2 linked regions of the Tribolium castaneum genome follow. The protein of the gene in region 1 purifies or fractionates together with the protein of each later gene. This does not show direct contact. Links are inferred from orthologs where the notes say so. Each region holds a gene or a part of one and is shown on either strand. Other genes may lie near its edges. The genes, in order: Marf and park.

Evidence for each region.
Region 2: the proteins of Marf (region 1) and park purify together in Drosophila melanogaster (affinity purification with western blotting; 3 studies listed by BioGRID). This does not show direct contact. The link is inferred for Tribolium castaneum from reciprocal best matches to the Drosophila melanogaster genes Marf and park.

The regions. Positions count from the first base shown.
Region 1 is NC_087395.1:26,386,582-26,391,015, forward strand, and holds the start of Marf (transmembrane GTPase Marf), read left to right. Parts: upstream 1-1,446; 5' UTR 1,447-1,584; intron 1,585-1,655; exon of another isoform or gene 1,656-1,776; intron 1,777-1,855; exon of another isoform or gene 1,856-1,887; intron 1,888-1,979; 5' UTR 1,980-2,022; coding exon 2,023-2,233; intron 2,234-2,277; coding exon 2,278-2,498; intron 2,499-2,581; coding exon 2,582-2,881; intron 2,882-2,936; coding exon 2,937-3,044; intron 3,045-3,197; coding exon 3,198-3,218; intron 3,219-3,288; coding exon 3,289-3,575; intron 3,576-3,848; coding exon 3,849-4,434. Other genes in the region: zinc finger protein OZF, read right to left, coding at 1-403; endos (alpha-endosulfine), read right to left, coding at 815-1,165. UniProt on the Drosophila melanogaster protein: Mitochondrial outer membrane GTPase that mediates mitochondrial clustering and fusion.
Region 2 is NC_087398.1:11,672,321-11,676,847, reverse strand, and holds the start of park (E3 ubiquitin-protein ligase parkin), read left to right. Parts: upstream 1-1,713; coding exon 1,714-1,974; intron 1,975-2,023; coding exon 2,024-2,389; intron 2,390-4,527. Other genes in the region: alpha-1,3/1,6-mannosyltransferase ALG2, read left to right, coding at 1-1,179; protein FAM32A, read right to left, coding at 1,189-1,311, 1,366-1,575. UniProt on the Drosophila melanogaster protein: E3 ubiquitin-protein ligase which accepts ubiquitin from E2 ubiquitin-conjugating enzymes in the form of a thioester and then directly transfers the ubiquitin to targeted substrates, such as Paris, Marf, Opa1, Miro, pnut, Septin1, Tom20 and porin.

The sequences.
Region 1 (4,434 bases):
TTGGATCAGTCTTAGACTTGGGTTTTTCTTCGGAAGTTTCGTTTTTTTCAACTTCTTCCTCCTCAATTAGCGTTATATTGCAAAATTCTTCGTCTTCACCTAGTTTTTGCTCGGATTGTGGCTGTTCAAGCAATAATTTTAAGACAGCTTCGTTATCCTGACACTGTTTTTTAAACTCGTGAAAACGGTAAAGTTCGTTCAGGCATGATTCACATATGTTCTGAGGCAACGAATCATTTTTTGTCACTTGTAAAGTTACGCAAGACTCCAGTAATTCAACTGCTTTAAAGTCCCCAATTATTGTGTCCATGATGGGCCTTGTTTTATTGTCCCCGAGACACGTGCGGCAGATTCGGTCAAAGTCACTCACAGTTATGGCTTTGGAAAAGTATTCACAACTCATTTTTTGTGGTTCTTGCCGAATAATTAACAGAAAACCATTTTTATGACCACTAATCTTACACCGATTTTATCAATGAAAAGGTGTTAAATAACACGAGATAATCACTTTAATTCAAACACCAACTCCACTTTTTCTAGTTTTAATACACCTAACGTAGGTATAAGCTGGGAAATTGAATTTTTTTGATAAATAAAATAATCACGTAACCTCACTTCCCGTGACAACTTGTCACGAAACTGGGGAATTTTATTTTTTTGGCGCCCAATTTAAACACGTCCAAACATTGGAAAGAAAATTTTATTGAGTACTTGAAAAATGCCAATATCTGTATCCATTTAGTAAAAAGTGGTGGAATAAACAAAATAAATTAGTAAGGAACCAACAACTACACTTAAACGCTACTTAAAAAAACTAGCTGACATTCGATGTGAATTTTGACGGCTGTATGATGGACGTTTTTCTCGCGGGTACGGTCTCAGGTGTAGGGATTGCCTCGCCAGTGGTGAATCCTGGCACAGGGACAGTCTTGACCTTATTGACACCGCCTAGCTTCTGCTTGGCCATTTGGTAATCGCCCGAATCGAAAAACTTCTGCCCTTTGGCCAGGCGCTTCTGCAGGAAGGCCGAATGGCCCCCCATGAGTCGGTTGGGGGCGCCTGACGACCCCCCGTACTTGGCTTTGAGCTTCGCCTCTTCCATTTTCTCCACATCGTGGGGGCTCATCTCGGGGGGAGTCTCTGACTCTTGATCTTGATCGCTCATTTCTAAACGCAAGCGTTGATCGAATCAACAGGGAATTAACTCAATTACCTCAAAATTGTAACAAGAGAAATCGAAATGACAGTTGGACAACAATAAGCGGTGACAGTCTGACAGTTGCTAATGACTACCAACGTGATAAAAACGAGATTCAAATTCTACACCAATTTATGGGAATTAATTGCGATTACAATTAGGAAATTATTGATAAGAGTCGGCAATTTATTGGTATTGTAGTTTTTGGGATTCTAGAATCTGGAGTTTGAACTAGTAGTCCAAAAATATTTTTTTTATTAACACAATCGCGTCACCAACCGCATTAAAAAGTTCCCAAACAAACGTCAACGTCAAAAATTAAAAACTCGTGCTTTGGAGGAATCGCCTCACAAAAATAATAATTACGTAATCAAATAACACAAAATGTAAGTTAAATCATACAAAGGGATTACAATTGTCGGTATGAACTTGTCGTTTTTTCAAATCTTGTCTCTAGATACGAAACAATTGAATAGTTTGACAGTTTTGGTGTCAAGTCGCCTATAAATATATTTATACCGATTTATTTATTTTTTGGGCTATAAATAGCGTATTTATACACGTTTAATGCGCCTTAGGTACGTATTTGCCCCGTTTTGGTACACATATCGATAATTCGCCTTAATTTTTCGAGGATTGTAAGTTGGGGTTAGATTACCCCGGACGTCAAGATGCCCACAAACGAGCAGGTTTTTCACACAATAATTTATGTCAATCACATGTCGCATGTCGCTTTTTATCCACAGAATAAATGTTTCTAAGTTGTAATGTTTTGTTTCAGTTGCTGCTGCTAGACGCATGGTAGATTGGCACCCCCTTGTTTGATGGCCGCTTATATAAACCGCACAATTTCGTTGATGGCGGGCGATGGCCCCCACAATAAAGCCATTCCTGCGAGCATGGTTGACCCTAGAAGCGCCCGACAGCCCCCTGACAACTCCCCTTTGCAGATTTTTGTCAAAGCCAAGAAGAAAATCAACGATATTTTCGGCGAGATTGAAGACTATGTTAAAGACGCAGTCGAGTATATGCACGGTGAGTTGAAAATTTGGCGACCTTGAAATGATCGCAAGTTGCAGAAATCGAGAAACTGCAAGAAATTGTTAACCAAGAAAGGGTTAAGAAAACTGAAGACTTTGTGAGTAAAGTGCACGGAATTCGCGATGTCTTGAGTCGTGACCACATGAAAGTTGCGTTTTTTGGACGCACTTCCAACGGGAAAAGCTCAGTTATTAATGCAATGCTGCGCGATAAAATCCTTCCCAGCGGAATTGGTCACACGACTAATTGTTTCCTACAGGTAAAGTTATTTTTGCGTCTAAAGCTAGAATTTTAAAAATTTTAAATCAATTTTTTTTCTTGAATTACTATTTTTTTTGACAGGTTGAAGGTTCACCGTCCGATGAACCTTACTTGGTTCTTGAAGGTTCCACTGAACACTGTGCTGTGGAATCTGTTGGCCAATTAGCGCACGCTTTGTGCAAAGAAAAATTGAACGAATCGCAAATGGTGCGCGTTTATTGGCCGCGAAATCGCTGTCTTTTGTTACGAGACGATGTCGTGTTCGTTGATTCGCCAGGAGTTGACGTTACGCCGAATTTAGACGAATGGATCGACAAGCATTGTTTAGATGCTGATGTTTTTGTTTTAGTAGCGAATGCTGAATCTACACTTATGGTTACGGTAACAAATAACCAAATTTTTTTGAATATCTTTTCGTTAATTGAATGTGTAATAGGAAAAAAATTTCTTCCATAAAGTCTCGACACGACTCTCAAAACCAAACATTTTCATTTTGAATAATCGATGGGACGCTTCTGCCACCGAACCGGAATTTTTGGATCAGGTGGGTGTTGAAAATTCACAAACACCTCGATTTTTGTTTGCATTGCATTGCTTAATAATTTTTGTTATCATTCTCCTTGTTTTGTCGCTTTTTTCTTGATAAGTTTATTGATTTTTTTTGTCCATAATTACATCAAATTTTCTCACATTTAAGCATTGCAATGAACAGGAAGAGGTGAGTTATTAGATTCACAGTGACACTTTAGAATTTAAATCTTCTATTAAATTAATAATTTTTTCTACAGGTCAGACGTCAACACCAAGAACGTGCCGTCGATTTTCTTGTCAAAGAACTAAAAGTTTGTACACCGAAAGAGGCCGAAGAACGAATTTTCTTTATTTCGGCCAAAGAAGTACTACAAGCACGATTAGCTGAACAAGGACAAACCGTTTCAACACCGCTAACTGAAGGTTTCCAGACGCGTTATTTCGAATTTCAGGATTTTGAACGAAAATTCGAAGAATGTATTTCGAAATCGGCCGTCAAAACCAAATTCGAACAACATTCACAACGCGGAAAATTCATAGCAAAGTGAGTACAGAGTCTAGGGAGTACTATAGGTTAGGAGGCGACGCGAGATGCAAAATCGTACCCAAAAAAGTTAGATGGCAGAATAAAAATTAGGGCGCTGCGAGCCTTTTTAGCAACCCTGTAACTATAGAGTTACAATACCAAACTGACACACTTTGTATAGTTCATGATACAATTTTTACATTATTTTAATCTCTTGCCACTGAGAATTAATTTATCTGCCTGCAATTTTTTGTTCGCCTTATTTAAAAGTGATTAAGTAATTTTTTTCAGCGAACTTCGCGAGGTTTTAGACGATATTTACAACGACGCGCAAAAACTAAAAGACGAGAAATTGCGTCAAAAGAAAGAAGTACACGACAAAATCAACTACACTGAAGAGCAACTAATTATAATAACACAAGAAATGAAGCAAAAAATCCACCAAATGGTCGAAGACGTCGAACAGCGCGTTTCCAAAGCTTTAAACGAGGAAATCCGTCGTTTGAGTACACTTGTTGACGAATTTAATCTCCCCTTCCATCCTGAACCTTTAGTTTTGAACGTTTACAAAAAAGAATTGCATTTGCACGTCGAAACCGGTCTTGGTTCAAATTTAAAAGCCCGACTTTCAACAGCTTTAGCAATGAACATGGAAGCGAGTCAACGCGAAATGACCGAACGTATGGAAAAATTACTACCAGCAAATCACAAAGCGGCGTCTAATTTTATTTTACCGCGTCGGCAACCGTTTGAGATTTTGTATCGGTTGAATTGCGATAATTTATGCGCTGATTTTACCGAAGATTTAGAATTCCGATTCTCTTGGGGGATTACCACGCTAATTCAACGATTTGCCGGCAGTGGCGCCAATTTCCTC
Region 2 (4,527 bases), on another chromosome or scaffold:
TTAGACGTCGCGAGTGCCTTATCTAAACAAGGAAACGAAATAATTCTTCTAACCAACCATTTCGACAAAAACCACGCTTTTGAGGAGCTCAAGAATGGGGAGTTCCCCGTTCAAGTGTACGGCGACTGGCTTCCGAGACACCTCTTCGGAAGGTTCCAAGCACTGTGCGCTTACATCAGAATGATTTATTTAACACTAGTCTACGCAATTTTCTACCGTACCACTCAAAAGCCTGACGTGTACTTTGTGGACTTAATCCCTATGGCTGTGCCAATTTTGAAATTATTCGGCGAAAAAGTTATCTATTATTGTCACCACCCGGACTTGCTCGCCAGTGCGCCAGGGGGGGCCTTAAAAAATTTCTACAGGAAGCCCATAAACTGGTTGGAGTTAAAGTCCACAGCTCGGGCTGATATCATTCTAGTGAATAGTGAGTACACGGCTTCGGTCTTCCGGGAGACTTTCCCCCAAATCACAAAGACTGTACAAGTGGTGTACCCCACAGTGGCCTCCTCGTTCTTAGAAGCCGTCAAAAACACCAAAAACCCCAGACCAATCCACCAAATAATCCCAGAAATACCCCAAAACGCCGCCTGTGTCTTCCTCTCCATCAACCGCTTCCATCCCGCCAAGAAACTGGACTTGGCCATCAATGCGATGGAAATTTTGCAAAGAATCACCTCGGAAAATGAACGTAAAGGCATTTTCTTGGTTATGGCCGGGGGCTACGACCCCCAATCGTCCATAAACGCCAGTTATTTCACCGACTTGGAGAAACTCGTCGCTGAGAAGGGGCTCCAAGACAAGATTATTTTCCTCAAGTCGCCCCCCGATGACGTCAAGACGGAACTTCTGATGGCGTGTGACTGCCTCGTTTACACGCCCGTGAAGGAGCACTTCGGCATTGTCCCCCTCGAGGCAATGACGGTGGCTAAGCCCGTCATTGCGTGCAACAGTGGGGGCCCCCGAGAGACAGTCGACCACGGAAACACGGGCTATTTATGCGAACCGACCCCCGACAGTTTAGCGCAATTCATGTACAGGATATTCAAGTCGGATAACAAGGCAATGGGGCTCAAGGGGCGCAAAGTGTTGCAGGAGAAATTCTCAAATGAGAGTTTTGCAAGGAATTTGAAGAAAATCCTTGATCACACTAGTGTAAATAAGAAGTTTATTTAAATAAATATTTTACTTAGTCCAAGAGACCTTAGGTATGTCAAAGTGTTCCGTGAGCCCGTCCAAGTGTTGGTTGAATTTTTCTACTCTTTCTTTGTGTGTCATTGACGCTTTTTCCAAGATGCGTTGAGTTTGCTGCAAATTGTAACAATCAGGCAACAAATTTAACACGAAATGTGATTTATTTACCATTTTTTCTTGCTGTTTTAAGAACGCAAGTTCGGCTTTTGTTTTTTGCCTCGCAGGCTTTGATTCCGGTGTCTCACTTTCGACAATTTTGCTCACTTGCTCTAACAACTTCTTATCTTTCTTCTTCTTTTTCTTTTTAATGCTGTTATCACCTTTTAATTGCAATTTTCCCTTGCAAACTTGTGCGTATGGGTCGTCACTTTGCCCCATCTTGTTTGTTTTGACGTTTCTGGAATTTTTCACACAACAACCAACGTAACGGATCGACAATCCCCAAGAATGAGGTTATGAAATTTCCTCACAAAAAATGTTTTTTTCTAAAAATAAGCCCGGCCGCGGTTACCACAGATGATGAGTTTTATTATCAACGTAATTAAAGATTTGTTGCATAAGATGTTACAATTTCTGTCATTTAGTAGAAAAACGCTGAGCAATAATTTGAGTATTTACATAAAAACCAACACAGGGAATACGCTTTCGGTCGATTTGGACCCCACCTGGGACATAAAAGAGGTGAAAGAGTTCGTTGCGCCCCAATTGGGACTGAAACCAGGCGAGGTAAAGATTATTTTCGCTGGAAAAGAGCTGGGAGACAACATTAGTATTTCTGTGAGTTTTGCCCTCAATACCACTAGTCGTAACCAGTTAGTCATTCTAGGAATGTGATTTGGGCCAACAAAGCACCCTCCACGCTATCAAAATCACCAAAAAGCCCAACCCTCCCACTTTAAACAATGCCGTAATTGAGGAAAGTGACGAGGGCAAACCTCTGTGTGAGACCTTATCAGATTTGAGTTTTTCAAACGATGATTACGAGGAAGGGCCCACCGAGCAACGCAAAGTCCACTTTTTTGTCTATTGCCCCACGTGTAAAGCCCTCAAAAATGGGAAATTGCGAGTTCGGTGCCACTTTTGCAAATCGGGGGCTTTCACGGTGCACTCAGACCCCCAAAACTGGAATGATGTGCTGCAGCCAAAGCAGATAACCGGCCTTTGTGAGAATAGCCCCGAATTGTGCGCCAACGTACGTTTTTTAATTATTTAATTGAAATTAGTCAAAAACACTCCACACTAAAAATAGTACTGGACAAAATTTAATTTTCCTTTAAAATGTTTATAGTCAAAATATTTAAAGTTAAAAATATTTACGCTTACTAAGGAGCATTGCGAAAATTTTTAAAATGTTTGCAATCGTAATGTCCGCTCACCTAACTAGAAGCAGCAGATTCATTAACACCATAAGAGCGAGCTAAACCGAAATTCTGGTACAGGGAAATCAATGTTAATTTTAAAAACTAAAAGTCGCTGAAGACAATTAAAAACAATATACGCCAAAATATTTTCAGATACTTTTTTAAATTTCTTTTTCTATCATAAAGTTAAAATTTTCTACAGTTACCAAATTTATTGAATGTAAATCTAAATTTGAAATTTGGGTTACTACTGAGGGTCTCTATAACATTTTTAGAAAATGTGTTCCAGCTATAAATCAGGTATCTAGCCCAGTCAAGTTAGACCAGACAAGAATTGGGCGGTTGGTGGCAAAAATTCCTAGTGAGTTGGAATTTTTTAAACGCGTTCTTTAGATAGACAGATATTAAAAATCCCAGAGGATGGAGGCTGAGCTCGAGATGGGGGAGAGGGTTAAGTGTGTCATTTTTCGTTTTATTTCTTATACCACGGAAACAATCATTGTCGGTTTTCACCTTCTTACAAAAATTAAAGCTGATGAAATTTCCTACAAAAATTGGTCCTATGCACTTTTGTTATAGGACTACCCGTAAGCGAGTTATAGGACTGAAAAGAAATAATTATTTAAAAAAAATCTGCTTCAAAGTAGAATGTCTTGTGACTTGAAAAAATCCAAATTTTACAACTGTTTCAAATTGAAATGATGAAATCTCTAGTATTGTGTAAAAATTGTTATAATAAAAATTTTTTAAACGTCCTTGACTGATTGATTTTAAAAAAATTCACGACGATAAGACCAAGTTCCTTAAAAAGTTTAGTTAAAAGTTAATGTAATAAACATCATCAGGCTTTTTACTCGTTCAAATTCTTGGAAGTAAACATTAAAAGATGGAATTAACAATGACTTAATGACAACAACACATGCACACACCACCGCCTTTTGACACCAGTTGGTGTCTTAAAGTGAACAAGACAGCGTTTTAAAAATGGTGGATGCGCCGGGAGAAATTATCAAATTAAACATTTCCAAATACTACTTTGAATAACTTTAGTCAAAAATGTACAAGTGTACAGAAAATATAAGAAAAACAAGTGTAAAACAATTTACTATTAACAAACTGCAAATTAAAAAAATGGTGGATGCGCCGGAAAAATTAATCAATATTCAAAAAAAATAAAAATAGATGTTTGTTGTTATTTTCTGACAAATGTATACATGTTTAAAATACTTTTTTATCAAACATTAACGCAAGTAGAGCAAACTGACATGAAATAAGGCAGTGGTATTTTGACAATTTATTGAAATAACGTTATGAAACGTAAGTTTTATGGGAATTTTTGAATGTAATCATTTCTGGACAAAGACATGACTCTAGAGGCAAAACGGCTCATTTATCAGCGTTTATCAGCAAAACATTTCTATCTTAGTGACCTCTATAACACCGTAAAGTTTGGCAACATCATTTTGAACGCTGTATAAGGAAGAGAAAATTATGTAAAAATAAGTAAGAATCGCTCCATAATCAAAACGACACACAAGAATAATAGTTTAGATTTTTTATTAGATTACAATATTAATAATAAATTATAAACAAAGACAATTGGATTACCATAACTTTTCAATTCTCCTTTTTTACCTGCTTTTTTTTCTATCTTTGTACCTGTCTTAAATCATTTCTTTTAATTAAGTGTCAATAGAAATTACTAGTAGGTAGCACATAAGTAGGTAAATTTAATTTTTAATTCTTTTAATATTACCTTTTTTGAGATAAAAATGTATTCAACGGGAATCTACTAAAGCGCTACAATAATATTTTGTTTGTGCGTGAGATGCGTACAAAAGCAAAGATAGACAGTTTCGTTTGGTAACAGAAAATACTTGATCGATTTAACGACCTTCGCTAGAAATATTTTAGTTTAGCTTGCTCTTAAAACACAAATTAAGAACGACTATGATGAACACGGTAAAAA